4 linked regions of the Stegostoma tigrinum genome follow. The protein of the gene in region 1 binds, or shares a complex with, the protein of each later gene. Links are inferred from orthologs where the notes say so. Each region holds a gene or a part of one and is shown in the gene's direction. Other genes may lie near its edges.

Region 1 (7,428 bases):
TCCTTCCAGCGAAGAGTAATAGTAAACTTTTAAAGTGAATTAAATCCACCATCAATGGATGTTAAAGAGTTATTGTTTTGAGCTGAAAGTAACTTTTTTTGGAAAATTATATCTTTCTGTTAGATGCTGTCAGACTGGCTAGGTGTAACCAGCTTTTTCTCTTTTTATTTAAGTGCGTTTGATTTTACAAATCCATTCACGGATGTGGACATTGCTGGCTGGGCCGGATTTACTGTCCATCTCTAATTGGTCTTCAGAGGGCGATGAGCTACTTTCTCGAACTACTACAGTAAATTTACTTTAGGGACAACCACAGTGCTGTCAGGGAAGGAGTTCCAGGATTTTAACACAGCTACATTGCAGGAACAGCAATCTATTTCCAAACCAGATAGAGAGTCATTTGGAGGGTAAGCTGTAGATGGTGATCTTCCTGTGCATTTGCTGCCTTTGGCCTTCTAGGTGGTCTAAAGAGTCTTAGTGAATTTCTACAGTGCATTTTTTAAGTGTTAGATTGCTGCTACTGAGTATCGACTGTGGAGAGAGAATGGATGTTTATGGATTTAGTGCCAATCAATTGGGCAACTTTGTCCTGGGTGGTGTTAAGCTTCTTGGGCGTTAGAGCTGCAGTCATCCAGGCAAGTAGACAGTATTGCTTCACACCCCTGACTTGCGCCTTGTAGATTGTGGACAAGCTTTAAGGAGTTACTAGGTGGGGAGGTGATGGCCAAGTGGTAGAACTGCAGAACTGTTAATCCAGAGGCCAGACAATGTTCCATTCACACAGGTTCAAATCCCCCATGGCAGATGGCAAAAACTGAATCCAATAAGAATATAGAATTAAGCGCCTAATGATGACCATGAAACCACGGTCGATTGTCATAAAAACTCATCAGGTTCACTATGCCTTTTAGGGAAGGAAATCTGTCATCATTGTCTGGTCTGGCCTACATGTGACTCCAGATCCACAGCAATGTGACTGAACTTAACTACACTCTGGGGCAATTAGCGATGAGTAATAAATGCTGGCCTAGCCCACAAATGGATTTAAAAAGACGAACCACATACCACAGGGTGCCAAGTCTTCCACATGCTCTTATGGCCACAGTATTATATGACTTGTTCAGTTCAATTTCTGGTTTGAGAAGGCGATCAGTTCTTTGAGAGGTGACTAGTTCTTTGAGAAGGTGACCAAACAGGTAGATGAGAGTAAACCGGTTGATGTGGCGTACATGGATTTCAGCAAGGCATTCGATAAGGTTCCCCACAATAGGCTATTGTACAAAATGCAGAGGAATAGAATTGTGGGAGATATAGCAGTTTGGATCGGAAATTGGCTTGCTGAAAGAAGACAGAGGGTGGTAGTTGATGGGAAATGTTCATCCTGGAGACCAGTTACTAGTGGTGTACCACAAGGGTCGGTGTTGGGTCCACTGTTGTTTGTCATTTTTATAAATGACCTGGATGAGGGCGTAGAAGGATGGGTTAGTAAACTTGCAGACGACACTAAGGTCGGTGGAGTTGTGGGTAGTGACGAAGGATGCTGTAGGTTGCAGAGAGACAGAGATAAGCTGCAGAGCTGGGCTGAGAGGTGGCAAATGGAGTTTAATGCAGACAAGTGTGAGGTGATGCACTTTGGTAGGAGTAACCAGAAGGCAAAGTACAGGGCTAATGGTAAGATTCTTAGTAGTGTAGATGAGCAGAGAGATCTCGGTGTCCATGTACACAGATCCTTGAAAGTTGCCACACAGATTGACAGGGCTGTTAAGAAGGCATACAGTGTTTTAACTTTTATTAATAGAGGGATCGAGTTCCGGTACCAAGAAATTATGGTGAAACTGTACAAAACTATAGTGCGGCCGCACTTGGAGTATTGCGTACAGTTCTGGTCACCGCATTACAAGAAGGACGTGGAAGCTTTGGAAAGGGTACAGAGGAGATTTACTAGGATGTTGCCTGGTATGGAGGGAAGGTCTTATGAGGAAAGGCTGAGGGATTTGAGGCTGTTTTCATTAGAGAGAAGAAAGTTGAGAGGTGACTTAATTGAAACATATAAAATAATCAGAGGGTTAGATAGGGTGGATAGGGAGAGCCTTTTTCCTAGGATGGTGACGGCAAGCATGAGGGGGCATAGCTTTAAACTGAGGGGTGAAAGATATAGGACAGATGTCAGAGGTAGTTTCTTTACTCAGAGAGTAGTAAGGGAATGGAACGCTTTGCCTGCAACGGTAGTAGATTCGCCAACTTTAGGTACATTTAAGTCGTCATTGGATAAGCATATGGATGTACATGGAATATCGTCAGTTAGATGGACTTGAGATCGGTATGACAGGTCGGCACAACATCGAGGGCCGAAGGGCCTGTACTGTGCTGTAATGTTCTACAGTGACTTGTAACCCCATGAAGTTGATAGTAGAAGAAATGAAAGTTAAGGGGAGGTAGGTGGATTCGCTCTTCTTGGTGGCTAATGACAGTTAAGTACCAGACTATGCCACTTATCAGCCCAAGCCTCGATATTATTCAGGACTTTGTGCATATAGACATGGACTGCTTCAGTATCTGAGGAGTTGCAAATAGTGCTCAACATCGTGCAAACATCAGCAGACATCCCCAGTTCTGACTTTACGATGGAGTGAAGATCATCAGTGAAGCAGATGAAGATGGTTGGGCCGAGGACAGCACCCGGAGGAACTACTGTACAGACATACTAAAGCTGAGATGACTGACCTCCAACAACCATGAACACCCTTCTTTGTATCAGGAATGACTCCAACCAGTGAGAGATTTTCCCTATGATTCCCATTGACACTAGTTTTGTAAGGAGTTCTTGATGTAACACTCAGGGAACTGTAACCTTGATGTCAAGGGCAAACAGTCCCATCTCACATCTGGAATTCAGCTCTTGTGCCTCTGTCAGAATGAAGGCTGTAATAAGGTCAGGATCTGAGTGGCCCCAGATGATCCTAAACTCAATGACAGGTAACAAGTCACAGGCAGTCCCTGGGTTGCGAATGAGTTTGTTCTTGAATACTGTCACAGGTCGATTTGTACACAAGTCAGAACATAATGCAGGATGATATAAAATAGCCATTCCTAAGGACGAGATAATATTCACATATTGGATCTTCAAAATTAATATTAATTCACCCCTGTAAGGTATTGTGATCACAGCTACAAGCACTCATAAGTTAGTCATTCTTAAATTGGGGACTGCCTGTATTGCTAAGCAATAGCTGCTTGATTAAACTGTCAATAACCTCTTCCATCAACTTGCTGGTGTTTGAAATTAGTCTCATGGGGTTGCTAGGGTTTGTTGCCTCTGTGTACAGGACATACCTGGCCAATTTTCCACATTGTCCAGTACACAGCAGTGTTATAGTTGTCTTGGAATAACTTGGTGAACTCAGTGACAAGTTCTGGAGCACAAGTTTTCAGTGCTGTTACTGAAATGTTGTCAGTGTTCACTTCTTCAAAATAGGTTCATGGTTCTTTAGCATTCATCTAAGACAGTAGATAGAACCTTGGTTTAATATGTCATCTGAAGGGCAGCATTCCTGAGAGTGCAGCATCAGTCAGAATTGCATTATGTGTTAGCCAGGGTTGCATGCTCAAGTGTCCGGAATAGTGAGTGTGTTCTTCCCTAGACCATGGTTCAACTTTTTCACAATAAAGTTACACATCAGGTAACTGTAAATAAGTAAAATTATGATCTCATACCATTTGAAAACCAATCTTCAACTCTACAGTGACATTTTTTGGATAAAACTGAAAGGAAAACATTTCAATTGTGCAAAACAAAAACAAATAGATCAGAAACTTTGCAAGAGGAGTTTCAATGTAAACAATATATCTCACCAGAACTACTGACTGTCAATTTGACAGGCTTTGGACAATGCCCAGGAATAGGGGATTCTGAGCCAGGAGGCCTGGATTCAAGTTCCACCTGTTTGAAAATTGTGCCATAATATCTCTGAACAGGTTAATTAGAAAATATCAATAAGTTAAATCTGTGTGTAATGCAATGTCACATCACCTACCCGTGGTAAAGAGGAAGCCATTGGTCCTGGCAGTGGATAGATTTTGTAAGCAGTATCTTAGGAACTCTAAGAGGAAGGGTCAATATCTGACCAGCTAAGAGCTTGAAGCGAAACTGACAGGCAGCACCTCCATGCCCTCACAGACCCAATAGAAACTGTGCTGCCACTGTCTCTCTGCTAACCCCACCCACCTCTACAGGCTCACTGTCAAACCCTCTCTCTCCTCATTAGCCGTCGACCAAACTCTCCCTTTTTCATTAACCCTTACCCGCTCACTAACACTCCTTCCAGTCTCTCCCGCCCACTCTAACTCTCACCTTCGCTGCATTTACCCACCTCCCTCTCCGCTCCGCCCTAACTTCCGTTTCCGGTCCGTCACTTGACCACTTCCCTCCTCACCCCCTAACAACGCACGCACACGCTCCGGAACCATCCTCTCCACCGAATGCAGCAGGAATAGTCTTCCCCATCGCCCACGGAGTTGTCGGAACTTGGCTGGGCCTGTCCCTGGGAGAAGGTTTCCGAGGTTGAGGGCAGTGCTGTGTACCAGGAGACGAGAATCAAGTCCGGGCTGCTCTATGCCTCCTCCCCTCCAACGGGCTGTGACCTTTGGACACTCCCTGTCTCTTGTGATCCTGAGCCTTGGGCACTGCGGCCGATGGATTGACGGACGGGCCTGAGGAATATGGATAAAAAAGGCTCCGTGTCCTGGAAGAAGATGACAGGTGAGGAAGTTCAACCTGTGGTCCTGGCCGCCTCCTGTTTCTGTCACCCCAGGCCAGCCCCCACAAACGCTGCACAAGTCTGGTTAAATCAGGGGATGAGATAGTAGGAATTGCAGATGCTGAAGAATTTGAGATAACAAGGGGTAGCTCGACACCGGAAATAGTTTGTTTAGGCTAAACTGTGTAGCACTAACTTCATGTAGAGACATATCACTAGCTTACCGACAAGGTTGATGCCTATGGCATAAAAGGGACCAAGGCAGCGGTCACTCAGTGCAGTGGTGAACCTTTGTCAGTCTGAAGATCAAAATTGTACTTCCCCGAAGTTACTATTATGACTGTCACTTTATCTATATTAATGACCCTAGACTTGGGTGTCCAAGATGCAATATCACAAGTTCTTCTTATATTTATTCACGAGATGTGATCTTCACCACTGGAAACCTCTTGGTTGAACAGTGAGAAAAATAGCAGTCTGGTGGAATAGGCAGACATATAGCAGAAGGAAGTTGATTCAGACAAATGCAAAGAGGAACAACTTGGAATGAAGAATGTGGAAATGTAATGCAAAATAAAGTGTGCAATTCTAAGAGATTGCAGAAGCAAAGAGACCTGAGGGGGCATATGCACACAGATCATTAAATGTGGCACAGCACCTTAAAACTCTGGCTGAAAAAGCACAATGGGCTTTATAAATTGAGGCTTGGAGTGCAAAAGCATAGATATTATGACACCTTTTTAAAAAAAAGTCTGCCCTCAATTGGAGTTTTATGCCCAGTCTGAGTACCAAAATCCAGGAAGGATGAGAAAATTTTTGACAGGACTCAGAAAAGATTTAGAATTGAAGAATGGTCATAGCATAGAAGAAGGCAATCCAACCTATTGTTTCTGTGATGACTCTCTCCAGGATCAACTTGGTCCCACTAACCTGCCTGTTCCCTACAGCTATGCAAATTTCAGACAAATATCCAGTTCTGTCTTGACACCGTAATTGAAACTGCCTCCTGCACTCTTGGACATCCCTGCTCCTAACCACTTGCTGCAAAATAAATTCCCTGCATTGGGATCGTTTGGAGTGCTGATTGTCATCCGGTTCTTGACTATTCCACTAATGGGAAGTAGTTCACTGATTCTGTTCTGTCCAGATTCCCCATGATTTGCTCTTAGACTTATTGAGCTGTACAGCATGGAAACACAGCCTTCCGTCCAACTCATAGCAGATATCCTAAATAAATCTAGTCCCATTTGCTAGTGTTATCCCATGTCCCTCTAAACCTTTCCTATTCATACACTCATCCAGAAGCCTTTTAAATGTTGTAATTGTACCATCCTCCTCCACTTCCTCTGGCAGCTCATTCCGTACTTGCATGATCCTCTGTGAAAAATTTCCCCCTTAGGTCCCTTTGAAATCTTTTCCCTTTCACCTTATACCTATGTCCTCTAGCTTTGGACTCCCCCGCTCTGGGAAATGGTCTTGGCTATTCACCCTATCCATGCCCCTCATGATTTTATACACCTCTATAAGGTCACCCCTCAGCCTCTGATGCTCCAGAGAAAATAGTGTCAGCCTATTCAACCTTTCCCTGTAGCTTAAGCACTCCAACCCTGGCAGCATCCTTGTAAATCATTTCTGAGACACTAAATCCTTCCTATAGCAAGGAGACCAGAATTGCACACAGTCTTTAAAAAGTGGCCTGATCAACATCCTGTACAGCTGTGACCTGATCTCCCAACTCCTATACTCAATGCACTGACCTATAAAGGGATACATACCAAATACCTCCTTGGCTATCCTGTCTGGCTATGACTCCAATTTCAAGGAACTATACACCTACTCTCCAAAGTCTCTTTGTTTAGCTGTACTCCCATGGATCTTACCATCAAGTGTATACGTCCTGCCCTAATTTGCCTTTCCAAAATGCCCCACCTCATATTTATTTAAATTAAACTCCATCTGCCACTCCTTGGCTCTTTGGCTCACTCAGCCAAGGTCTCATTCTATTCTGAGGCTACCTCCTTTGCTGTCCACTACACATCCAATTTTGGTGACATCTGCAAATTTACGAACATGCATTTCTCCTGAGTTCACATCCAAATCATTTATGTAAATAACACAAAGCAGTGGACCCAGCATCAATCCTTGTGGCACACCACTAGTCACAGACCTCCAGTCTGAAAAGCACCACCCTCTGTCTTCAACCTTTGAACCAGTTCTGTATCCAAATGACTAGATCTCTCTATATTCCGTATGCTCTGACCTTGGTAGTCAGTCTACCATAAGGAACTTTGTCAAATGCCCTAGTGAAGTCCATATTGATCATGTCCATCACTCAGCTTTCATCAATCTTCTTCAAAAAACTCAATCATTAGTGAGACATGATTTCCCTCCCACAAAGCCATGTTGATTATCCGTAATCAATCCTTGCCTTTCCAAATACCTGTAAATCCTGTCCCTCAGGATTCCCTCCAACAACTTGACCACCACTGATGTCAGGCTCACCGGTCTATAGTTTCCTGGCTTTTCCTTACCACTTTTATCGAACAGCGACACCACGTTGGCTACCCTTTGCTTTTCCAGCATCTCACCTGTGGCTATCAATGTTACAAATATCTCAGCAAAGTGCCCAGCAATCACTTCCTTTGCTTCTGAGTGTTCTAGAGTACATCTG
Region 2 (7,335 bases), on another chromosome or scaffold:
GTCTGCAGTTTCCTCCCTAACCTCTCTCAATATCTGTGGATACACCAGAGCAGGTCCCCATGATTTACCCAGTTTTGTATTTTCTAGGACCTCCACAGTTCCTCTTGTGCAAAGTGAACTGTTTTCAAAACATCAGTATTTTCCTTGAGTTCTCTAGCTGCCATTTCTTTCTCCACAGTCAAAACTGATGGTGTAAAACATTAATATCTCTCCTGTCTCCTGAGGTTCAACACAAAGATGACCCCTGCTCTCTCTCTAGCTGCTCTCTTCCTTATAGCATCGCTTTGTATTATCCTTCACCTTATCTGCCAAGACTTATCTCAATATCCCCTCTTTGCCTTCCTGATCTTGAGATTGCTGCTATACTGTTCAATATTCACTTGAGCCCAGTTGCCTATATGTAATTTGTTTCCTTTCTTGACTAGAACCTCAATATCTTTAGTCATCCATTGTTCCCTCGTCCTGCCAGTGTTACCTTAACTTAACCGGAGCATCATAACTCTGCACTGTTGTTTTCAAACTTTTGAAAGCTGCTCAGTTGCCAGTCGTCCCTTTACAGTCGGCTCTGCTATAACAACATGTTTCTTCAATGCAAATTGGCTTTAACATTAGATTAGATTAGGTTACCTACGGTTTGGAAACAGGCCCTTTAGCCCAACAAGTCCACACTGCCCCTTGAAGCATCCCACCCAGAGCAATCCCCCTATAACCCCCACACCCCTGAACACTACGGGCAATTTAGCATGGCCAGTCCACCTAGCCTGCACATCTTTGGACTGTGGGAGGAAACCGGAGCACCTGGAGGAAACCCGCGCAGACACAGGGAGAATGTGCAAACTTTACACAGGCAGTCGCCCGAGGCTGGAATCGAACCCGGGTCCTTGGTGCTGTGAGGCTACAGTGCTAACCACTGAGCCACCGTGATTGAAGAATTTAAACTGCTATTTGTAGTATGCAACCTTTCTTTACCTGCATTGGCTATAATGCGATTCTGGCCCCATTAGTTTAAGTGGTGTGGCTACTGCACCATTTTCTTATAATGCAGGATTGCATGAGAATGGATCTAACGTGTTACATCAGAACTGACAGTCCCTGTGAATAATCTTCTCCAACCAACTTTTGAAATTTCCTGTCTCATGCCATTAAAATTTGCTTACTCCAGTTGAAAACTTGAACATTTATGGGAAGCTTCTCCTTTTCCATAACTACTTTAAAACTAATTGAGTCATTAGGTAATAAAATGTGAGGCTGGATGAACACAGCAGGCCAAGCAGCATCTCAGGAGCACAAAAGCTGACGTTTCGGGCCTAGACCCTTCATCAGAGAGGGGGATGGGGTGAGGCTTCTGGAATAAATAGGGAGAGAGGGGGAGGTGGACCGAAGATGGAGAAAAGAAGATAGGTGGAGAGAGTATAGGTGGGGAGGTAGGGAGGGGATAGGTCAGTCCAGTGAAGACAGACAGGTCAAGGAGGTGGGATGAGGTTAGTAGGTAGGAGATGGGGGTGCGGCTTGGGGTGGGAGGAAGGGATGGGTGGGAGGAAGAGCAGGTTAGGGAGGCAGAGACAGGTTGGACTGGTTTGGGGATGCAGTGGGTGGAGGGGAAGAGCTGGGCTGGTTGTGTGGTGCAGTGGGGGGAGGGGACGAACTGGGCTGGTTTAGGGATGCGGTGGGGGAAGGGGAGATTTTGAAGCTCAAGAAGTCCATATTGATACCATTAGGCTGCAGGGTTCCCAGGCGGAATATGAGTTGCTGTTCCTGCAACCTTCGGGTGGCATCATTGTGGCACTGCAGGAGGCCCATGATGGACATGTCATCTAAAGAAATGGTTACCATTTCCACTCCCCCCTCCATTCTTTACAACCCTGCAGCCTAATGGTATCAATGTGGACTTCTTGAGCTTCAAAATCTCCCCTTCCCCCACCGCATCCCTAAACCAGCCCAGTTCGTCCCCTCCCCCCACTGCACCACACAACCAGCCCAGCTCTTCCCCTCCACCCACTGCATCCCCAAACCAGTCCAACCTGTCTCTGCCTCCCTAACCTGCTCTTCCTCCCACCCATCCCTTCCTCGCACCCCCATCTCCTACCTACTAACCTCATCCCACCTCCTTGACCTGTCTGTCTTCACTGGACTGACCTATCCCCTCCCTACCTCCCCACCTATACTCTCTCCACCTATCTTCTTTTCTCTCCATCTTCAGTCCACCTCCCCCTCTCTCCCTATTTATTCCAGAACCCTCTCCCCATCCCCGTCTCTGATGAAGGTTCTAGGCCTGAAACGTCAGCTTTTGTGCTCCTGAGATGCTGCTTGGCCTGCTGTGTTCATCCAGCCTCACATTTTGTTGTCTTGGATTCTCCAGCATCTGCAGTTCCCATTATCTCTGTGTCATTAGGTGTATGGTTGGGAATCACTGCAGGTCAGGCAGCATCTGAGCAGCCGGAAAGTCATTGATTTATGTCCTTTACCTTTTTATTTCTTTGTTCATACAAGCTTGTCAATATGACTAATCAGAAGTTACTACTTTTGAGGTTCTGTTTTTTTAATGTTCTATTTAACCTGTCTTGCACCTTCCTCAGTCCTGTCAAAGGGTTTTGGCCTGAAACGTTGACTTTCTTGCTCCTCAGATGCTACCTGACCTTCGAATTAGAACCCCTACAGTGTGGAAACAGGCTCTTCAGCTCAACAAGTCCACCCAGAACTTCAGAACATCCCACCCAGACCCATCCCCTGTAATCCACCTATTCTACATTTCCCTGAACACTATGGGCAATTTTGCATGGCTAATCCACCTACCCTGCACATCTTTGGACTTACAATGCTTTTCAAACCTTTCATCTATAGACTGTGGCTCCCAGTCTACAGGCCTTATTGTGTCCATTTCATTAGAGAAATATCAACTTGCATTTTCACTAGAAGATTTTTCAGAAATATCTTTTCTAGTTGTGGTAGTAATATTCTCCTTAATCAAAAAAGCCAGATTCCCCCCCCTTCCACCTCCCTTGCTACATCTCATCTAGCATCTGAAACTCGGAGCATGGAGTTGCTTGTCCCTCAGCCATTTCATAATAGCTGTTACATCACAATCCTACGTTCCTTAACGTGTCCTCAGTTTGTTAACCTTATCTTTAAGACCCATTGCACTGAAATTTAATGCAGTTTAATTCTTCAGAGCTACTTCATTCTTTGGGGTTTTACTGTCTTTTCTAATTGTTCTTTTCAGATTCAGAACCATCTTTCTGTTGATCCGTTACTTAAGATCCCTCTATCCCTCTAATAGTTTACAGTTTCCCTTAATAGACATAGTAAATCTCTCCACAAGGATATTGATCCCTTTCCGGTTCAGGTGATACCCATTCTTTTTGAACAGGTCTTCTCTGCACAAGAGGAAGTCCGCGATGTTCCAAGAACCTCGATCCTTGAATATTACATCACTTTTTCAGCCATTGATTTATGTCCTATATCCTTTTATTTCTTCCTTCATACAAACTTGTTAATGGAATTAAATTGGAGGGTACTGCTTTTGAGGTTCAGTTTTTTAAATGTTCTATCTAACCTCTTATATTCAGTCTGTAAAGCCTTAATCTTTTCCTTAACTATGTCATTCCTACGAATGTGTACATTAACTTCCAGCTTCTCACTGACCCTTTTAACAGTATGCTTTAAACATTTTGAGAAGCCCTTAATCCTTGCTCTAGGAGAAACAACATCTTATCCTAGATTCGTGCTCGCTGACACAGAATCTCTGTGTTTGGAGGTGTGGGGAGGTGGAGGTTGGAACGAAGAATAAAAATGGTGAACTGACAGTAGCGTGGATCTTGTAGCTGCTCCTGAGTTTGCAAACTTTCTTTTAGGTTTCTTATAGTATACTATTGAAATGTAGTAAAAATTTTTATTTTGAGTTATGTTGGTTCTTTTGTAGTCAAAAATCCAAAAAGCAAACACTTTTTTTTCCAAATAGTGTTTGCTGAGCTTTCGGAGAAGCTTTTGAATGGATAGCTCAAGTATTTTTTTAAAAATTATACGCTAAAAAAGTTATACATGTAGGAAAGATTCTTTTAAAACATTGCTGAAGAGATTTATTTAAATCACGGAGGAGGATTTTTTAAAAACAATTGTGTTTTTAGAGCTTTCAGAAAGACCTACAAGTTGATGGCTCTGGGGTGAGTTTTTTAATCAATGGATTGAAAGCTGTCTGCTAGACTACCTGAGGAGGAGTTTTTAATTTGATTGTTCAGCTAAGTGGTTGATTTTATTTAAGATTAAATGTTTGATTTTCTCTTTTTTTTGCATGCTTAGTATTCTTTGGGAAAATATAAGGTACTGTTGAAAGCTGCTTTTTAAGCTTGATGACATTGAGGGCATACAAGAGACAGATGCCTAGTAGATTTACAGAAGTGATTTCACAGCAGGATCGGTCAGATAGATGGGTGACTGTCAAGAAAGGTAAGAAGTCTGTTCAGACGTCTCCTGTGGCAATTTCTCTCTCAAACAGATAATTCAGTTTTGGGTACTGTGGGTGGATAGTCTCGGGAAAATAAAAGGTGGTCAGATCTTGGGTACTAGGGATGAATCTTGTAATAGGCGGGGTGTGACAATTTAAAAGAATAATTGCTATAGGAGACTGTTATTTGTTGAATACGGTACGGGGATTGGCTGCCAGGATTTGGAAAAGAGCTTGAATTTTTATTAAAAGGCTGGAGATATGGTTGGTACCAGTGATGTGTGAATTTTGATGGGCCATTTTGTCCTATTCTTTTTTGTATGTTTGTAATTTGGTTTAGGTTGACAAGGTGGAAATCTATAATGGCACGCTTTCAGCCTATGAACCAGAAATGTCATGCTTTGAATCTCAAATGTGCTGAGGTATTTTACTTCTCTTGGTTTAACTCCATCCTGAGCATCTGTGTAGTGCTGATGTGATTCTTATTCAGTAGAGGCAAAAGTAGTACTTAGAAGCCTACTGTTGGTAATGTGTATGTGTTCACTTGCAGAGTTTACCTGACATTTTCTTGTATCAAGTTGTTACAGTCCCATCTGATATAGCTGAAACAGTGCTCTTGCTTTAAGCACTGATTATAGTGCAAACTAAGTTTAAACTTGACACTGTGCCTGTGTCAAAATTCAGAGTGGGTTTGCTTCTGCAGTAAACTAAATTTGTTTTTTCATGCTTGGAAGGATAGTAGAGATGAGTAAACTCTTACCTTTTTAAAAAAAAAATTGGATGCACACTTGAAGCATTGTAATTTTCAAAGCTGTGGGCCTAGTGTGGGACAGTGGGGTTAGTGTAGATAGTGTATTTCAGGTGGTACAGACATGATGGGCCAAAGCGCCTCATCTGTAAAATTTCCCATAATACTCCAACATAATCACTGCAGTGATTTATAATGTGCTAGTGTGATTTTTCTTTTTTAATCTATTCCTCTTGTATGAGTTCAATTAATCATACTTTTTCAACCACTTTTATGGGTTTATTCAATTCGGCACCAAGGTGTCTCGCTGGTCATTGATTTTCAAAATCTTGTAATTTACTCTGTCCATTGATCAGTGTGCAACAGTTCACCTTCATGTTTAACTTACTTGGCCATACGTCTGTCCATTTTACCATCCTATCTTGATGGAGACTGCCACTGGTTTCACTGCCGTCTACTACTTTGCCACATTTTGCATCCACTGCATGTTTTATGATGCTACTCCCTAATCTTAGTCCGGGCAACTTATGTTAAAAGAAAACAAGAGGAAGGTCTGGTACACGTTTGTTTGGCACATTTGCCTTCCATCTTTGAAGCAGTAACACCTGCTGTAGACAGCAGGAACATTGAATGTGTTGTAATTGTCCTTCCAAGAGGCATTTGATAAGTTTATTAAGGAGGTGCAGACTGTGAATAACTTACTTTCTTGAATCCATCTACATATCTATTTGTGTACGTTGGTACACAATGCAGGGCAATATCAATAACTCATAAATATGAGGAGGCATTCGTATGTCAGATCTTTAAAATCATTGCTAGTATACCCCTGTATGGGATCGCACTTGTTACTATGAATGTTCAAAAATCAGGGATTGTGTAGATGATAACATTGGTAAGCATAGAACATGGGCTGGCTAACAAGTGAGCAGTAAGAGCTGATAGGTCTTTTTCAAACTGGCAGGATGTCATGTGTGTACCACAGTTTGGTGCTGTGGGCTTAACTCTTTACAATTGATGAAATGCTTTCGATAAAGGGACTGCAGGTGTAGTAACTGAATTTGAAGATACTAGTGGGAGAATCTAGAACAAGAAGTCAGGGTTTAAAAGTAAGAGGTTGCCTGCTTAAGACAGCAGAGAAAACACTATTTTCAAAATCCCTGAGGGTTAAACCTTCGCAATTCCTTTCGAGTGAATGCAGAATCTTTACCTGTGTACCAAAGATATTTAGGTAGGTTTTTGCTTACAAGGGATTGAAAGTTTATCTGGGATATGCGGGAAGTTAGAGTTGAGATTATAAACCGATTCGTCGTGATTTTATTGAATGGCAGACCAGGTCCGAAGGGCTGAATGCACTGTTCTTGTTCCTTGTTAATGTGTTCATAACAAATTTGTGCTGGCTGAGCTTGATTAGCGCACACCTTTTTGAATGAAAGCTTATTTTGTCAAATAACAAACCTATTTCCTGGCTTAATCCTCTCCCTCCTTTTGAATACTGAGTTTAATATTAATAATCCTACAGTTCCCCCACAACTGTATCTAATGCAGATTGAAAAATTGTGACTGTCTCTGCTATTTCTATTGTTGCTTCTTTCAACAATGCCATCTGCATTCTACTCGGACCAGGTGACTTAACTACCTTTACGGAATGATAATTTTTAAGAACATATTTTCTCTCTACAAGGCTTTTTGCAGCTTTCTTATTGTCTGCTTTCTTAGAAGACAGATGCAAAGTACTAATTTATTACTATGGCTGTGCCTTGTGGCTCTCCATGAAGGATGTTTTGGTCCTTACTAAGTCATAAGTATGTGTTTAAACTTGCATTTTAAAATATTTTAAGCTTCAACTTAATATTGCCATAACATTTGTAGTGATCATTCCTTCCCACCTTGCCCTAACTCTCTCAATGTTTCTCCTGTATTTTCTGCAGTCTTCATGGCTATCTTCTGAATGATACTTCTGACAAACAATAAGCACATTTTTAAAGCCCTTTCATAAGCACCAGACATCCCAAAGCAGTCTGCAGCCAATGAAGTTTTTTCGAAACTTTAAAAAAAATGAGTGTAGTAACTGTTATAACGTAGGAAACATGGCAGCAAATTTGTGCCTGAGAAACCTAAGAAACAGGAATATGATAATGATATTGGT
Region 3 (7,102 bases), on another chromosome or scaffold:
AGGAAAAATCAGAGTTAACATTTCGGGTCTGGTGGCCCTTCCTCAAAACTGATGGTAGTTAGGAAAACATTGGTTTATATGCAGAAAACAAGGAGGGGAAAGGCTTAGGGAGTAAACAATAGTGGGGATAGAGCCCAGAGAGAGAGAAGAGTAGTTGGCTAGACAATGAACTGATAATGATCTTGCTAGGAGGGTGAATAGATGTTAATGCGGACTGTTAGTGTCTAACAATAGGTAGTGTACAATGGCAGACTATGTGATAACAAGGCCCGGTGTGTACGGTAGGGGGCTAGGACATGGGAGAGTTTACGTCCTAAAATTATTGAACTCGTTATTGATTCCGGAGGGCTGTAGGGTCCCCAAGTGGAAGATGAGGTGTTGTTCTTCTAGCTTATGCTGAGCTTTGATGGTACACTGCAGCACGCTTGGTCAGGGAACAGGATGGTGTTTTAAAGTGGGAGGCACTTTACAAACAGGACTTTCTGGGCAGACCCATTGTTTTAGCCTGTTTCTGCTCCACAGAACTCATTTCTTTCTACCGTGACTCAGTCTTTTCTCCCTTGGTCCAGTCCCCGCCAATGTATATCCGTAATTCTCCTGCTGTTTTATACCAGTTTCAAAATTTCTAGTTTGCCAGTTCTGGCCGCCTCCTCTTTACCATATAGATGCAAACCCTTTACATGTTCATTCCCATTTCCGAATGGTCTTAGGGTTTTCCGCTTCTTCCTGGAGCAAAGGCCTGAACTGTCCCCACCCGCCACCACTCTCCTCTGCTTGGCTGAACTCATCCTTACCCTCAACAACTTCTCTTTAACTTTTCCTCATTTTCTTCAGTTCAGAGGGGTGACCATGGGTACCTGTCTGGGCCCCATCTATGCCTGTCTCTTCATGGGGTATGTGGAACATTCCTTGTTCCAGTCCTATTCCAGCCCCCACCCACAACTCTTTCTCTGATATAACAACGATATCATTGGTGCTGCTTCTCTCTCTGTTGTCTAGAATTGGAAAAGTTTGGTGATTTTGTTTCCAAATTCCACCCTGCCCTCACTTTCAGCTGGTCTATCTCCGACTCCTTCCTTCCCTTTCACAACATCTGTTTCCATTTCTGGGGATAGATCGGCCACTAATATCCACTCTAAACCCAGGAGGGCTAGCAAGAAGGGAATGTACTCATTTAGTGTTTCAACTATTGTGAAAAGCTAAGCCTGAGTTAAGCCTGACACTCTCAGTTCTCATTCTTTAAACTATTTACCTGATTTATCCATTTACTTATACCTATGCAATATTATTCAACGTTTTGCCCATACATCTATTTGCCCATAAAGTTACGTTGTTGCTGAGAGGGTCAATTTGCATTTGCAGGTGTATTATATTTCTAAAGCAGTTTCCATTCTTCAATTTATTTTTTTGTAGTAATTGCCTTAGAAATGAATTGGGAACATAGCTAGTACATTGAAATAAATGTATATCAAGACATATGACATGTAGCCATGAAGACTGGAGTACTAAAATGCTTTTTTGTCTGATGCTAGTTCAGTGATGAGAAGCAATAGCAGAATGGTCACATTTCTGAGCTGGTAAATACAGAGAGTATATTAAAGATCAGGAGACTTGAACTCTGTTGCCACATGGGAACTTAAACTTAATTAAATAAGGTCAGAAATCACATGACAACAGGTTATAGTCCAGCAGGTTTATTTGAAAACACAAGCTTTCAGAGCCTTACTCCTTCTTCACATGTTAGTGAGAGAGGTAGTATCAGACACAGAATTTATAAGTAAAAGATCAAAGGGTCACACTATTGATGAGGATGTACTAAACAATATTTTAAAACCATGCAGATGCTATAACAACAGATGAATGGACACCACGCAACAATTGCCAGGCAGAAATGTTCCCTCCCAGTGGGGGACGCTTCAGTAATCAAGGACATTCGGCCTCAGATCGTCGGGTAAACATCCTCCAAGTTGGACTTTGGGTTACACAACAGCACAGAGTCACCGAGCAGAAGCTGGTAGCCAAGTTCAGTACCCATGAGGACAGCCTCAGATGGGATCTTGGGTTCATACTGCACTACCAGTGACCCCACCACACTTTCTGTTTTGTTCAAAAAGCACACAATTCATAGACAGTCAATTTGGTGTTTTATAAATTCCTCATTTAGAAATAAAACCAGTCTGACTCCAAACTAAAACACAAAAATGATTCTAAACAAGGGCTCACACCTAAGTCGCATTGTCTGATCTAAAATGTCCCTCTTCTTGACACTGGTAAAGCCTTTGGTTCTCACAGGACAGTGACTTGAAAGGAATTCAGGGATTTACGTATACATAATAATCAATTAAAATTTTCAACTGGTTAATGATTTAACAGCATCTTAGATTTGTTTGGTACATCCACATCAATGGTGTAACCTTTTGATCTGTTACTTGTAAATTCTGTGTCTGAGACTACCTCTCACAAACACCTGAAAAAGGAGTAAGGCTCCGAAAGCGTGTTTTCAAATAAACCCATTGGACTATAACCTGGTGTTGCATGATTTCTGACCTTGTCCACCCCCCTACTACCACATCTTAATTAAATAAATAAACTGAATTATTTTAAACAAACTTGAGGCACATTTGTCCTTTAGGGAAATAAATTATCCTTCATAGCTTAACCTGTTTGTGATCACAAACCTGCATCAAAGTTCCTGCCAATTTTCACTGCAGATTCTCCCAACCTGCAATAACAAGGCGTAGAGCTGGATGAACACAGCAGGCCAAGTAGTATCAGAGGAGCAGGAAGGCTAATGTTTCGGGCCTAGACCCTTGTCTAAACCTGAAACATCAGCCTTCCTGCTCCTCTGATGCTGCTTGGCCTGCTGTGTTTATCCAGCTCTACACCTAATTATCTCAGATTCTCCAGCATCTGCAGTTCCTACTATCTCTCCCAACCTGCAGGCAGTTTGTTTTATTCACATTTTCTGTTGTGTATACCATTCATCAGTCCACATTATCAGGAATCCTTATAAGAACACATGGAAAGCAATATCATTTTTAAGGGATGTTTTTTCTTAATCAACTGATTAAAGAAATCGGGGCTGTTTTCCTTGGAGAGGAACAGGATGAAAGGAGATTAATGAAGTTTTCAAAATCACAAGCAATGTGGTCAGAGTAACATGGAAATAGACAACACAATGTGCAGCTAGAGGAACACAGCAGGCTAGGCAGCAGCAGAGGTGCAGGAAAGTTGATATTTTGGGTTGGGACCCTCCTTCAGAAATTTCCTGACCTGAAACATCAACTTTCCTGCTCCACTGATGCTGTCTGGCCTACTGTCTTTCTCCAGCTTCACACTGTGTTATCTATGACTCCAGCATCTGTAGTTCTCACTATCTCAAAGTAACACTCTAAAGGACAAAGAATGAGGGGCACAGAGTTAAAATCATTTGTAAAAGAAGTAAACACAATATGGAAAAAAAAACTTACTGTGTAGTTCAGGTTGGGAGTTCATCGTCTATGGCAGAGACAGGTTCAATAGAGGCAGTCAAGAAACGACATGCAGGTGATGTGGAAAGTGTAGAAAAATGAGTCATGATGCCCATTTTAAGAGCTGGTGCAAACAACAGTCCAAACAGCATTTTTCTGTACCAATACAATTCTGATTCTGCGGTTGACTTTTTGTTGCCCTCTGAAATGCACCCAGTTGCATTCAAGAAACTAAGTGATTCAGGATGAGGGATTAAACATAATGTTAAAATAGATTGAGCATTCTATTTGGTTTTGAACAAGACATGGCTTGAGATTGAATGTACTTCTATATTTAAACAAAGTCTTTCGATTTGGCATCTGTGCCATTTTATCTGTCTTAAGGAAAACTTTAAAAATAAATACGGGTAAAGATGATAATAGGGACTCCAGATGCTGGTGAATCCGTGATAACAAGGTGTGGAGCTGAATGAACACAGCAGGCCAAGAAGCATCTTATGGGCAGGAAAGATGATGTTTCGCGCCAAAACTCCTTTTCTGATTAAGGGTTTAGGCCTGAAACGTCAGCTTTCCTGCTCCACACCCACCACGTGTGGCTGGTGACGCGGACGTCTCTCTGGAAACCCCTCAACATTATCCGTAACAGTTGCTCGGCTTTGCGCGCGGGCTGGTGACGTATGGTTGAATGGACTGAGATCTGTCTCCGAGTAAGATGGCGGACGAGGAGGACGAGCAGCCGGTGAGTCTGGCTCTTGAACTTCACTCTCTTTCAGCATGTTCACGGCTCGGATCGATGTCTCTTGCCGCCAGCAGCAGCAACGAAACGCCCTGAATGACGGTGACACTGAGCTATTTGCTAATTTCAGCAGCCATAGTCTGAAATCAGCAAAACAATTAAAAATCGGGAGCTGCAAACGACCCTACTTTTCTGTGATGATAGGAACTGCAGATGCTGGAGAATCTGAGAAAACAAGGTGTGCTAGGCCTGCTGAGTTTCTTCAGTATTTTGTTCTTACGTTTTCTGTTTCTGTAACTTTCAGATTCCCAGCTTCCGTGGCATTTTTCATTTTTTTGTTACTTGTTTTGAGTAACAGAGTATGTGCTGTGTGAAAGGTATGAGGTGTGGAGAAATTAGGGTTATAATAGTGGATTTTTAAAAAATCATAGCGTGGGTGTCATTATTGCCCACCCCTGATTGATTTGAGAAGCTGGTTATCAAACACTTTCTTGAACTACTGCAGTCTGTGTTTTATTTATTTAAAAAATATACTTTATTTATAAAATATCTTTATATACACCTGCAGCTCCTATGGCAGTTCAATTCTGTAGAGACCATATGAAAAAGCAAACAAACGTGGAAGTTTGACTCTATCCAGCAAACAAACCAAAGGCCTTTCTTACTTGATCAAGATCACATTTACATATATTTGAAGCATCGAGAGGGTCTGATGGTTGAACAGACCTCCATTTAACTTTGGCAGAAAGACCCTAAACGATGCCTTGGTGGCAGCTGTCCCAAAGCTTTAGTGCATCCCTCAGCATGTAGACCTGTACCTCGGAATATGCCTATCTGGAGCACTCAGTCAGGATCAACTCCTTTTTCTGGAAGACCAACAAGTTTCCGGCAGACCAAAGTGTTTTTCACCAAATTTATGATCCTCCAGGTGCAGTCCATGCATCCTTAGGAACAGATCATAGAGCACAGAGTCCTGTGTCACAGAGCTGCTCAGGACAAACCGCGACAAAAATCACTGCATCTTTCTCCAGACTTCCTTTGAATAGGCACATTCCAGCAGGAAATGTGTGACAGATCTATATCCTCTGCAGCTGCTATGAGGGTAACATGTGGAGGTACATGAAGAATCTCAGGTTTTTAAATTTGATTTATTCTTGTCACGTAGTTAAAATTGACATTCAAACTTGCGTTGTTCTATTTACATTTCATAAAATTGTTACATGTAAATATGCATTTCACACATTTTCTGAAGCCACCTTCAATTTGTACATTTCAAGTATGTATTTCTCAGGAGGATGCATGAACACATTCAAGTGATTTGTATCATTGCTTACATTAGGAGCAGTCATGGCCAGGAGGTTGAATTAGTTTGCTTGGTCTTGATTTCTAGGATTAATTATACTTGGATACAGAGGAGGAGGCTCAATCCTATGATTATGTCAGTTATGTCTTGATTCATGCTGTGCTTTGAGAGAGGCTGGCGGCTGGTTGGACTGTGAACAAGTTGTGAGAGATAATGGGAACTGCAGATGCTGGAGATTCCAAGATAATAAAATGTGAGGCTGGATGAACACAGCAGGCCAAGCAGCATCTCAGGAGCGGCTTTCTCTACATTGGGGAAACCAAGCGGAGGCTTGGGGACCGCTTTGCAGAACACCTCCGCTCAGTTCGCCACAAACAACTGCACCTCCCAGTCGCGAACCATTTCCACTCCCCCTCCCATTCTCTTGATGACATGTCCATCATGGGCCTCCTGCACTGCCACAATGATGCCACCCGAAGGTTGCAGGAACAGCAACTCATATTCCGCCTGGGAACCCTGCAGCCATATGGTATCAATGTGGACTTCACCAGTTTCAAAATCTCCCCTTCCCCCACTGCATCCCTAAACCAGCCCAGTTCATCCCCTCCCCCCACTGCACCACACAACCAGCCCAGCTCTTCCCTCCCACCCACTGCATCCCAAAACCAGTCCAACCTGTCTCTGCCTCCCTAACCGGTTCTTCCTCTCACCCATCCCTTCCTCCCACCCCAAGCCGCACCCCCAGCTACCTACTAACCTCATCCCACCTCCTTGACCTGTCCGTCTTCCCTGGACTGACCTATCCCCTCCCTACCTCCCCACCTACACCCTCTCCACCTATCTTCTTTACTCTCCATCTTCGGTCCGCCTCCCCCTCTCTCCCTATTTATTCCAGTTCCCTCCCCCCATCCCCCTCTCTGATGAAGGGTCTAGGCCCGAAACGTCAGCTTTTGTGCTCCTGAGATGCTGCTTGGCCTGCTGTGTTCATCCAGCCTCACATTTTATTATCTGTGAACAAGTTGTGTTGAGTTTTCAAGATTGACTTGATTTTTAATATTTTCACAGTTTGTGACAAACTTGTCCCATTTTCACATTTCTTGCATATGCATATAGTTCCATCCAGAATGATGCCCTGAATATTACTTGCCTTTCCCCTGTTTTCCAGTTTTGAAAACATTTTTATTTTTCAAATTAAGGATGAAAGCGTGGATTATAATGAACCAATCCCTGGGAAGGCACATGTAGTAATGAATGTGGAAGTAGGGATTTGAAGTGGTGTTGAATTGCTGTGTTAAGAAAGTGATGGGGAACAGTGGGATTGGTTTAAAATTAAAGCTGAAAAAGCCAATCATTTGCAGGACAAAAATACAGCATATTTGTGGGGGAGGCTGAATGTAGTGTTAGTGCTGTGGCTGGAAACTGCAGATAAAGGAGCTATAACAAAACAGGAAATGAGGCTTAGCACAGAGAGCTTGGGAGGGATATCTGCAACCAATGGAAGGAGAAAGAGATTGGCAATCAGTGTGTGGATTGGAATGAGATATATACAGCCAGTAGGATTAGTGACAGGAATTGAAATCATTGATTGTATTG
Region 4 (7,360 bases), on another chromosome or scaffold:
CCAATTGTCATTTGTTTCCTAACACCACACCAGCTGGATGAAAAGCTTGGCCTCTACTAATCTTAGAGGAAGAGTCACACCCCTACAACTCAGAAGTTTAGTTACTTCATCTACACCCTCCTAGTCACTGACTTTAGAAGTCATTAGAACCATTCAATGCACTAGCCAGGGGCTAAGCAAATCTCTACTTTTCCTCTTGAAAAGAGGCTCAATCCTAGACTGGAAACTTATTTCTTCTAGTTCTGGCAAGACCTTCCAGTCTCCATGCTTTTCAGAGCTGGAACTTAGATTAGAAATGCACAAGCATGGAACCTAGCCAATGTCATGCTTCAACATATACTGACAATGTTGATTTTAGAGAAAATTTACCTATTTCACTTGCTCTACAAAGATTGCTTTACTGTACTTAACCTCAAATGCATCACCAGGGTCAAATTCCATTTGTTACTTCTATCCACCCAGTCATTTATGTCTCCATGCAGTTTATAGCTATCCTCATAGCAGCCAAATTGTTAGAGGTACTGAATCCTGCAACTGCACTGGAAACAGCCTTCCATATTAAAAACTCAAGCTTTGGTTCCTGTTCCTCAGCAAGTTAGATACTAAGTTAACTACATCCCCTTGGAGTTAGGTTACATCAAGTTAAAGCTTTGCTAAAAAGCATGCAGACAAGCACAAACTACAACACCCTCAGTGCTGTCTTTCCTTGATCGCTATTAATCCACACCTTTGAACTGTCAGTTTGCAATCTCAACACCAATAAAAGTTTATTTCCACCAATGTGCTGCTGACTGGTCAGCAGTCAGCCCTCTGCTTTTCCAAGAGAGGCAGAGCTCCAATCTGCTGGATCACTTAGTGGACTCATGCAGTCAGTGCTCAACTTTGAAACTTTAACAGCCTAGGGTAAAATTTCATCAGGCTCTAAACTACAGACAGGCTGTAAACAGTGGTGCTGATCCTCACATTTAGTGAGTATTAATCACTCACTTATCAGCATAGTCCCTCGAGAAGACACCCATTTAAAACCATACCAACATCTTCAGTTTCTACACAGGGTTAGAAAGAGACCAAGACAAGTAACCTATTCTTTCATTAGAAACTTAGTTTGGGACAACAGCCTGAGGGAGAAAGCTAGCAGCTCAATTTTGGGTGTAGATGCTGTAGGGAGGATAGAAGGGGGGGTTTAAATTGGGGCACTCTTAATTATTGTCCAGTGATGCTATATAGGCAGAAATGGGTGATCATTGATGAGGTTCTTTGGATTCAAGAGAAATTCTACAAAATTTGTATGTAGGAAGATACTAGGGCCCCTTGAAGATAAGGAAACCATTCAGCATGGATTTGCAAAAGCTGGATGTGATCCTAAACTGATTTAGTCAGTTTTTTGTTTACACTGGAGAACATGGAAGCTAGGGTACACAAATTCATGGTGTCTTTAAAGTTTAGCTCACACGAGGTAAAGGTATAGTGCATCAAGGTGGTTAAGCCCCAGGACCAGATCAAATGGACCCAAGGGCATTGCAGAGCAGAGAGCTTTGTATCATTGACAAATATGGGCAAGGTCCTGGAAGACAGAAGGTGGCTAGTGTTGTGCTTTTTTAGCAAAGGCTGCAAAAGCCAGGGAACTAGACAGGTGAGCTGAAGGGGATTGAGGGACAGGATCTATGCATTTGGAAAGGAAATGACTGATTAGAGGAAGATAAACAGCATGGCTGTGCTGGGAGCATTCAAATTTGCTTGAGCTTGTAGTGAAGACATGACCAAGATAGGCAAATGCAGCAAGTTTTTTGCTGTCTACATTGGCAAGATTCTGCCTGGTAGATTGGTTAGTAACATTTGATCACATAGGACCCAGGGAAAGAGCCAATTGGATACAAAGTCATTTGATGGGAGACGGTGGTGGTACAGGGTTGTTTAGAGGCCTGTGACTACTGGTGTTCTGGAAGGATTACTGCTGGGTCTACTGGTTCTGATTTATAGGAATGATTGAAGTGAACAGGAGGCATGATCAAGTTTGCAGATCACAGATTTCTGTGATCATGCAATGAAGGTGGTTACCTCAGTACAACAGGACCTTGATCAACAAACTAGTTGGCCAAGGAATAGCAGATAGTTTAATTCAGACAAACAGGTGTTGCATTTTGGCAAGCTAAGCCACAGAGACTTAATGGTAGTATCCTGGGGAGATCTGACAAAGGAGACCTGCAGGTACAGGAGTACAGTTCTTTCAAAGTGGCAGCACAAAGTCCTGAAGACAGTCTGGCATGCTCACCCTCAGTCACAGCATACAGTACAAGAGTTTGGGGGGGGGATGTCATGTTGCATCTGTACAACACATTACATCTGCAGCATTGCACCCAATTCTGGTTGTCCTGCTATGGGAAGCATGCCAGGAAGCTGATTTTTTGCATACTTGAAGTATGCTAGTAAAACAGAGGTTTGAGTAAGGGTGGGGGGGGGGGGGGAAGAAGAGAGAAGAGCTGGTTTCCCCTTTCCCCCACTGGAGTGTCAGACACTACGGTGAGACCTTACAGGGCTAAAAATCATGCCAGGTATGGATAGGAATAGTTGCAGTCTTTCCCACCCCTGCAGACAGGGTAGTCAGATATTAGAGGGGGCACAGCTTTAAGGTGAGTGGTGACTTTCCCCCCCAGAGTGGCACAACATGAATGAGTAGTCAGGAGCTGTAGAGGCAGGTACAGTTACAATTGGAGACATTTGGACAGGTCCATTGATGGGAAATGTTGAGGCATGAGGGACTAGTTTAGAGAACTAGTCAGCATAGACAACGTGGGCCAAATGACCAGGTTCTGTTCTGACCCATGCTCATGGAGACTTGATGAGCTTCTCACTGATTTACAATATCCTTTTTAAAGTGACTCTATTTAAAGTCCAGTGTTCTATAAGCTGGGGTGTCAGAAAAGTTTTGCTTTTCTGTCTACTTCATCAATTGGTCTCCCTTATTTACTAAAATCAAGGTGATATTATCAGAAACATTTTCCTTTTAAGATGCCACAGTTAAGTTTCCCATAAATGTGAACAGTCCATTGCTTTATGCATAATCACAAAACCATTCAAGGACAGCTTTCACTTGACAGCTGAAAGATGTTTAGAGTAACTAGTTTTACATTAGTGTAGTTTTGAACAATACTACAGCATTCTAAATCAGAACACTGCCTTTAGACTTCAGACATTCAATATTTAGTCTAAATACTAGCAAGCACCAAAGAAATAAAGACTGCTTACCTTTCAAGCCAACGGCAGACTTCTTCCCAAAGATATGGGAGAGCTCTAATCTTAGACTGAAAATAAGTAGCATAATTTTAAACTGAAGCTTGTTGTACAGAACACAGAACAAACTAATGCTCAAACAGCTTTTTTCCTAAGTGGTTTTGAACATTATGTGCCAGAAAAGACTTAAAGCAAAAACAATAACCCAATCTGAGACCACATCCTGATAAAGCAAGTTATACAACATCCAAGCAGCAAAAAAAAACTGAAATAGAGAACTACGGATATCGAAGATCCGATTTTCTGAAGGAAGGTCCCGAACCGAAACGTCAGCTTTCCTACTCTGATGATGCTTGGCCTTCTGTGTTCTTCCAGCTGCACAGCTACCTGACTCCAGCATATGCAGTTCTTACTACGTAAGAAGCAAAGAAAGAGGTTACTGGAAAAAGCTTCAGGACTGCCAGCACCTGTGAAGAGAAAAGTTAATGGTTCGAGTCCAGTGACTCTTCAGAACTAAGCTAGCCACGTAACTCGAAACGTTAACTTTTTTAATCACAGGAGAGATAAAGTCAACCGAAAGCTCCATCCGTTTATTCTTTCGAATAAAAGTTATTCGATTGGAGAACAAACTAGCGCCTAGTCCAGTTGTGCGCTGACAGATCCCTGTAGAATTAAAATTAAAGCAGGTTTAACATGTCCTCTGAAAAAGAGGATGAGACAAGTTGCTGTTTCCACACACACCACCAGGTGTGGCGCCCTTTAGCATCTGAAGCCAGGGAGCCATCTTGCACACAATAATGTACAAAGATAAAATCAGAAAAGTCGCGGAAAACGGTCGCTTTTGACGCGAATCTCGCCGAAACCATCAAGGCGGTCAGAGATGTCAGGCTCCCGGGCAGGACCAAGCGGGATTAAAGCGTTTGCCTTCGTGTGGTTGCTCGGCGGCGCCTCTCCAGCCCGCTCGGCACAGTCATTCTACAGCCCAATAACGCGTTCCTTCATTCGCCGGCGCTTTAAACCGGGAGCTGACCAATGACGGAGGGCGGCTGCCGACCCACTTCTGACGTCACCCCCAACAACACGGCCCGGTGCGCATGCGCGGTCCGAGTCAAACAAGAGTTCTGCCTTAAGATGGCGGCGGGGGCTTCAGATCTGTTGGACGATGTGTTCTTCTCAGACGTGGATGAGAAAGTGGTGAGCGACTTAGTCGGCTCCCTGGAGTCCCAGTTGGCGGCTACGGGCCATAACGCGGCGGAACAGGCCGGAATAAGGGCGCAGGTGGTGAATAATCACGTGGAAAACACACCCGGGATGGTGAGCAATAATGTTGAGCTGCAAACAGCAGAGAACAAAATGGGACTGGCAGGAGCTGAGGTTTCCACCGCAGCCAAAATCAAAGTGGACGAGAGCTCTGAGGGTAAAAACGCACAGATTAATTCGCAGAACACATTTGGCAGTGGGGTTTTGCCCTGTACGACGGCGGGGAGTGGGGCACAGCAAAGTGTTGTTATCAATAATGCAAGGTCCCAGGCTCCAGGAGTAGAACAGGAGCAGAGTACAGCGGCAGTAGCGGCAGTGACAGGATCGTCGGAAACATCAGCTTCAGGCAGCATCGGTCAAGGAAAATCGGTGGTGATAAGTGCAATGGCAACCCCAGTGTCCAACCATGTGAAAACTGTCACCTCCAACGTACAAACTCTTAATGGGAATAATGGAATGGCGATAAACTCTCACAATGCAGGAAATGCCACCACTTTTACTTGTTCAGCAGCTGCAACTACCTTGCCAGCTGTTACGGTGGTCAATAATGGACCTGGATCTGTTGTAAAAAACACAGTTAATACAGGGTTGCCAGCAGTGTCTTTGCCAGTCTCTAGTTCTGTCTACACTGTTATTCAGACGTCTTTTGTCAGCACACAGAATGTTCCTTCAACTGTTGTTTCATCACAGGCAGCAGGACCCACAGTGACATTGGTGAGACCACCAGCGCACAGTGGCCCAGTTCTGCCAGTTGCATCAGCACCAAATGGTAGTAGTACTATATTGAACTCAACAGTTAGTGTAACTAACTTGTCAGCACCTAGTGGCACTGGAGCTCCACATCAGACTTCACTTCTGACTTTAAACAGTCAGTCTTCTAGTTTGTCAAGCAACGCTTCTTTGTCCACTGGTGGACAGGTTATCAAATCTGAGTTACAGCCCAAAACAATTATACAGACACCACAGCAGACTCTCAGTGCAGGAATATTGACATCAACAACTGGTAGTGCGGTGACCACTTTAAACAATCAGTCAAACACAAGTACTATGGTAATAGGTCAGACGATACAAAGTGGACTTCAGAATGTGGCATCCAATCCTGGAGGAATTTCCACTCAATCAGTTGGTACGCCAGTTGGAATGGGCAAAGGAACCATTAACACAATTGCCCAAACTATGGCAAGGACAGCAGCAGTGAACACTGGCCCAAGGACAACAATAACACCGCAAGTTATAGCTCCCCGTCTCCCTCAACCCCAACAGCATCAACCAAACATTCAAAATATTCAAATTCCCCCAGGTGAGAATAAGATCATATTGGTCAGTGGCTTGTGCTTTCTTGTACTATTAAGAAATTTGAAAAATTACTTATTTTCTGTTCCAGCTTAATGCTAGTCTTTAGAATATTTACTTATAGTTTTGTCAGAGGCAATTAAATCAAAGTGGGAAAACGTAATGTGCAATGGGCTGTCAACTGTCTCCATAGACTACAGTGACGCAAAATTATAGGCAGTTTAAAAAATGTTTGTATTTTCCAAATGATTTATAATACAGCCTAACAATTTCATAAATTAGCATTTCTGACTAGCAGAATATAAAAGGATAGTGTCACAGTGGAAGTTAATTTAATTTTAACATACTGAACAATTAACCTTGTGTATATAATGTTAATGGCATTACAGTCTACAGTTGTAATTCTACTCATTTCCAGGTGATCAGAGTGAAATCACTTGCAGATCCAGCTCTTTGTTCACGTTAAAGCATTGATCATTATAGGGCTTGTATAGCTTGTATGTAGTGGAAACTTGCATTTACCTCCTGCAGTATCGTGGCTGTGTTGATGAATTTCTGTTATGTGAGTAAGTAATCTTAGCAGTTGGTAAAGTTAGTTTTATTTTTCGGTGTGCAAAACACTGCTGCCAATGTACAACTATTAAACTTTAAATCCAGTATATAAATATTCACCAGCACTTTCCGTAGCCTTCAGAAGTTGAACAAAACTGCAAAGACTTTTTTAAGAATCAATTAAAAGTAACAAATACTTGCTGTGCTTACTGACAGATAACTGATTCAGCTGATGAATTGCATGTTAATATTGAAGTTTTGCTCTGAAATGAGTGGACTATAACACCGAATAGAGCTGATAAGGATTATTAAAATAATTATTTAAATTATTTTTGCTTATGTGGTATTACAATTTCCCTTTTGTCACCTGTGACCAAGAGGTACTAATTGGTGATTTAAGATCTAATATTGTGGAATTATGACTAATGTCTACAAAATTATCACTTGTAGTTCCTGCATTTGCTACTGCATTGTCAAACTGGAATCAATACCAAGTTAATCAGACGTGGTTATCATCACGCTGACTTCAAAAAAGTGCACTGAGCAGCAGATGAAGCTTTTTTGCTATAATTGTTTAAACAAATAGAAGAGCTAGATTGATCGCTTAAATTTTGCAGTTGTAAAGTTTGACTTGCATCTGGAGTATTTTCAGCTACAGTAGTAAAGCTTAGATTCCCATGGGAAATTTGTTTAAAATTATGAATTATGTTGAACAAGTATCATCTGAACATAACCTTTAAAAGGAAAGAAAACTTTAGGTGAGTACTGCTTTCACCGTACATCTTGCGCTTATAGAGTCAGTGTCGTATAGCGCAAAACAGACCCTTCGGTCCAACTCATCCACGCCAGTCAAACATCCCAATCTGACGTTGTCCATTTGCAGCATTTGGCCCATATCCCTCTAAACACTTCCTATTCATATACACTTTCAGATGCCTTTTTAAATGTAATTGTACTCATCTCCTCCACTTCCTTTGGCAGCTTGTTCCATGCACATCCCACCCTCTGCATGAAAAAGTTATCC

What was found.
Region 2: taf7 (region 1) and gtf2b share a complex: the UniProt entries of both Homo sapiens proteins name them as parts of the TFIID-containing RNA polymerase II pre-initiation complex. The link is inferred for Stegostoma tigrinum from reciprocal best matches to the Homo sapiens genes TAF7 and GTF2B.
Region 3: taf7 (region 1) and taf13 share a complex: the UniProt entries of both Homo sapiens proteins name them as parts of the TFIID basal transcription factor complex. The link is inferred for Stegostoma tigrinum from reciprocal best matches to the Homo sapiens genes TAF7 and TAF13.
Region 4: taf7 (region 1) and taf4a share a complex: the UniProt entries of both Homo sapiens proteins name them as parts of the TFIID basal transcription factor complex. The link is inferred for Stegostoma tigrinum from reciprocal best matches to the Homo sapiens genes TAF7 and TAF4.

Annotation. Positions count from the first base shown.
Region 1 is NC_081368.1:72,085,320-72,092,747, forward strand, and holds the start of taf7 (transcription initiation factor TFIID subunit 7), read left to right. Parts: upstream 1-4,404; 5' UTR 4,405-4,719; coding exon 4,720-4,759; intron 4,760-7,428. Other genes in the region: zgc:101583 (magnesium transporter NIPA2), read right to left, coding at 4,035-4,055. UniProt on the Homo sapiens protein: The TFIID basal transcription factor complex plays a major role in the initiation of RNA polymerase II (Pol II)-dependent transcription.
Region 2 is NC_081361.1:89,377,264-89,384,598, forward strand, and holds the start of gtf2b (transcription initiation factor IIB), read left to right. Parts: upstream 1-4,329; 5' UTR 4,330-4,423; coding exon 4,424-4,443; intron 4,444-7,335. UniProt on the Homo sapiens protein: General transcription factor that plays a role in transcription initiation by RNA polymerase II (Pol II). Involved in the pre-initiation complex (PIC) formation and Pol II recruitment at promoter DNA.
Region 3 is NC_081365.1:35,350,180-35,357,281, reverse strand, and holds the start of taf13 (transcription initiation factor TFIID subunit 13), read left to right. Parts: upstream 1-4,077; 5' UTR 4,078-4,182; coding exon 4,183-4,209; intron 4,210-7,102. UniProt on the Homo sapiens protein: The TFIID basal transcription factor complex plays a major role in the initiation of RNA polymerase II (Pol II)-dependent transcription.
Region 4 is NC_081372.1:17,927,106-17,934,465, reverse strand, and holds the start of taf4a (transcription initiation factor TFIID subunit 4), read left to right. Parts: upstream 1-4,355; 5' UTR 4,356-4,362; coding exon 4,363-5,791; intron 5,792-7,360. UniProt on the Homo sapiens protein: The TFIID basal transcription factor complex plays a major role in the initiation of RNA polymerase II (Pol II)-dependent transcription.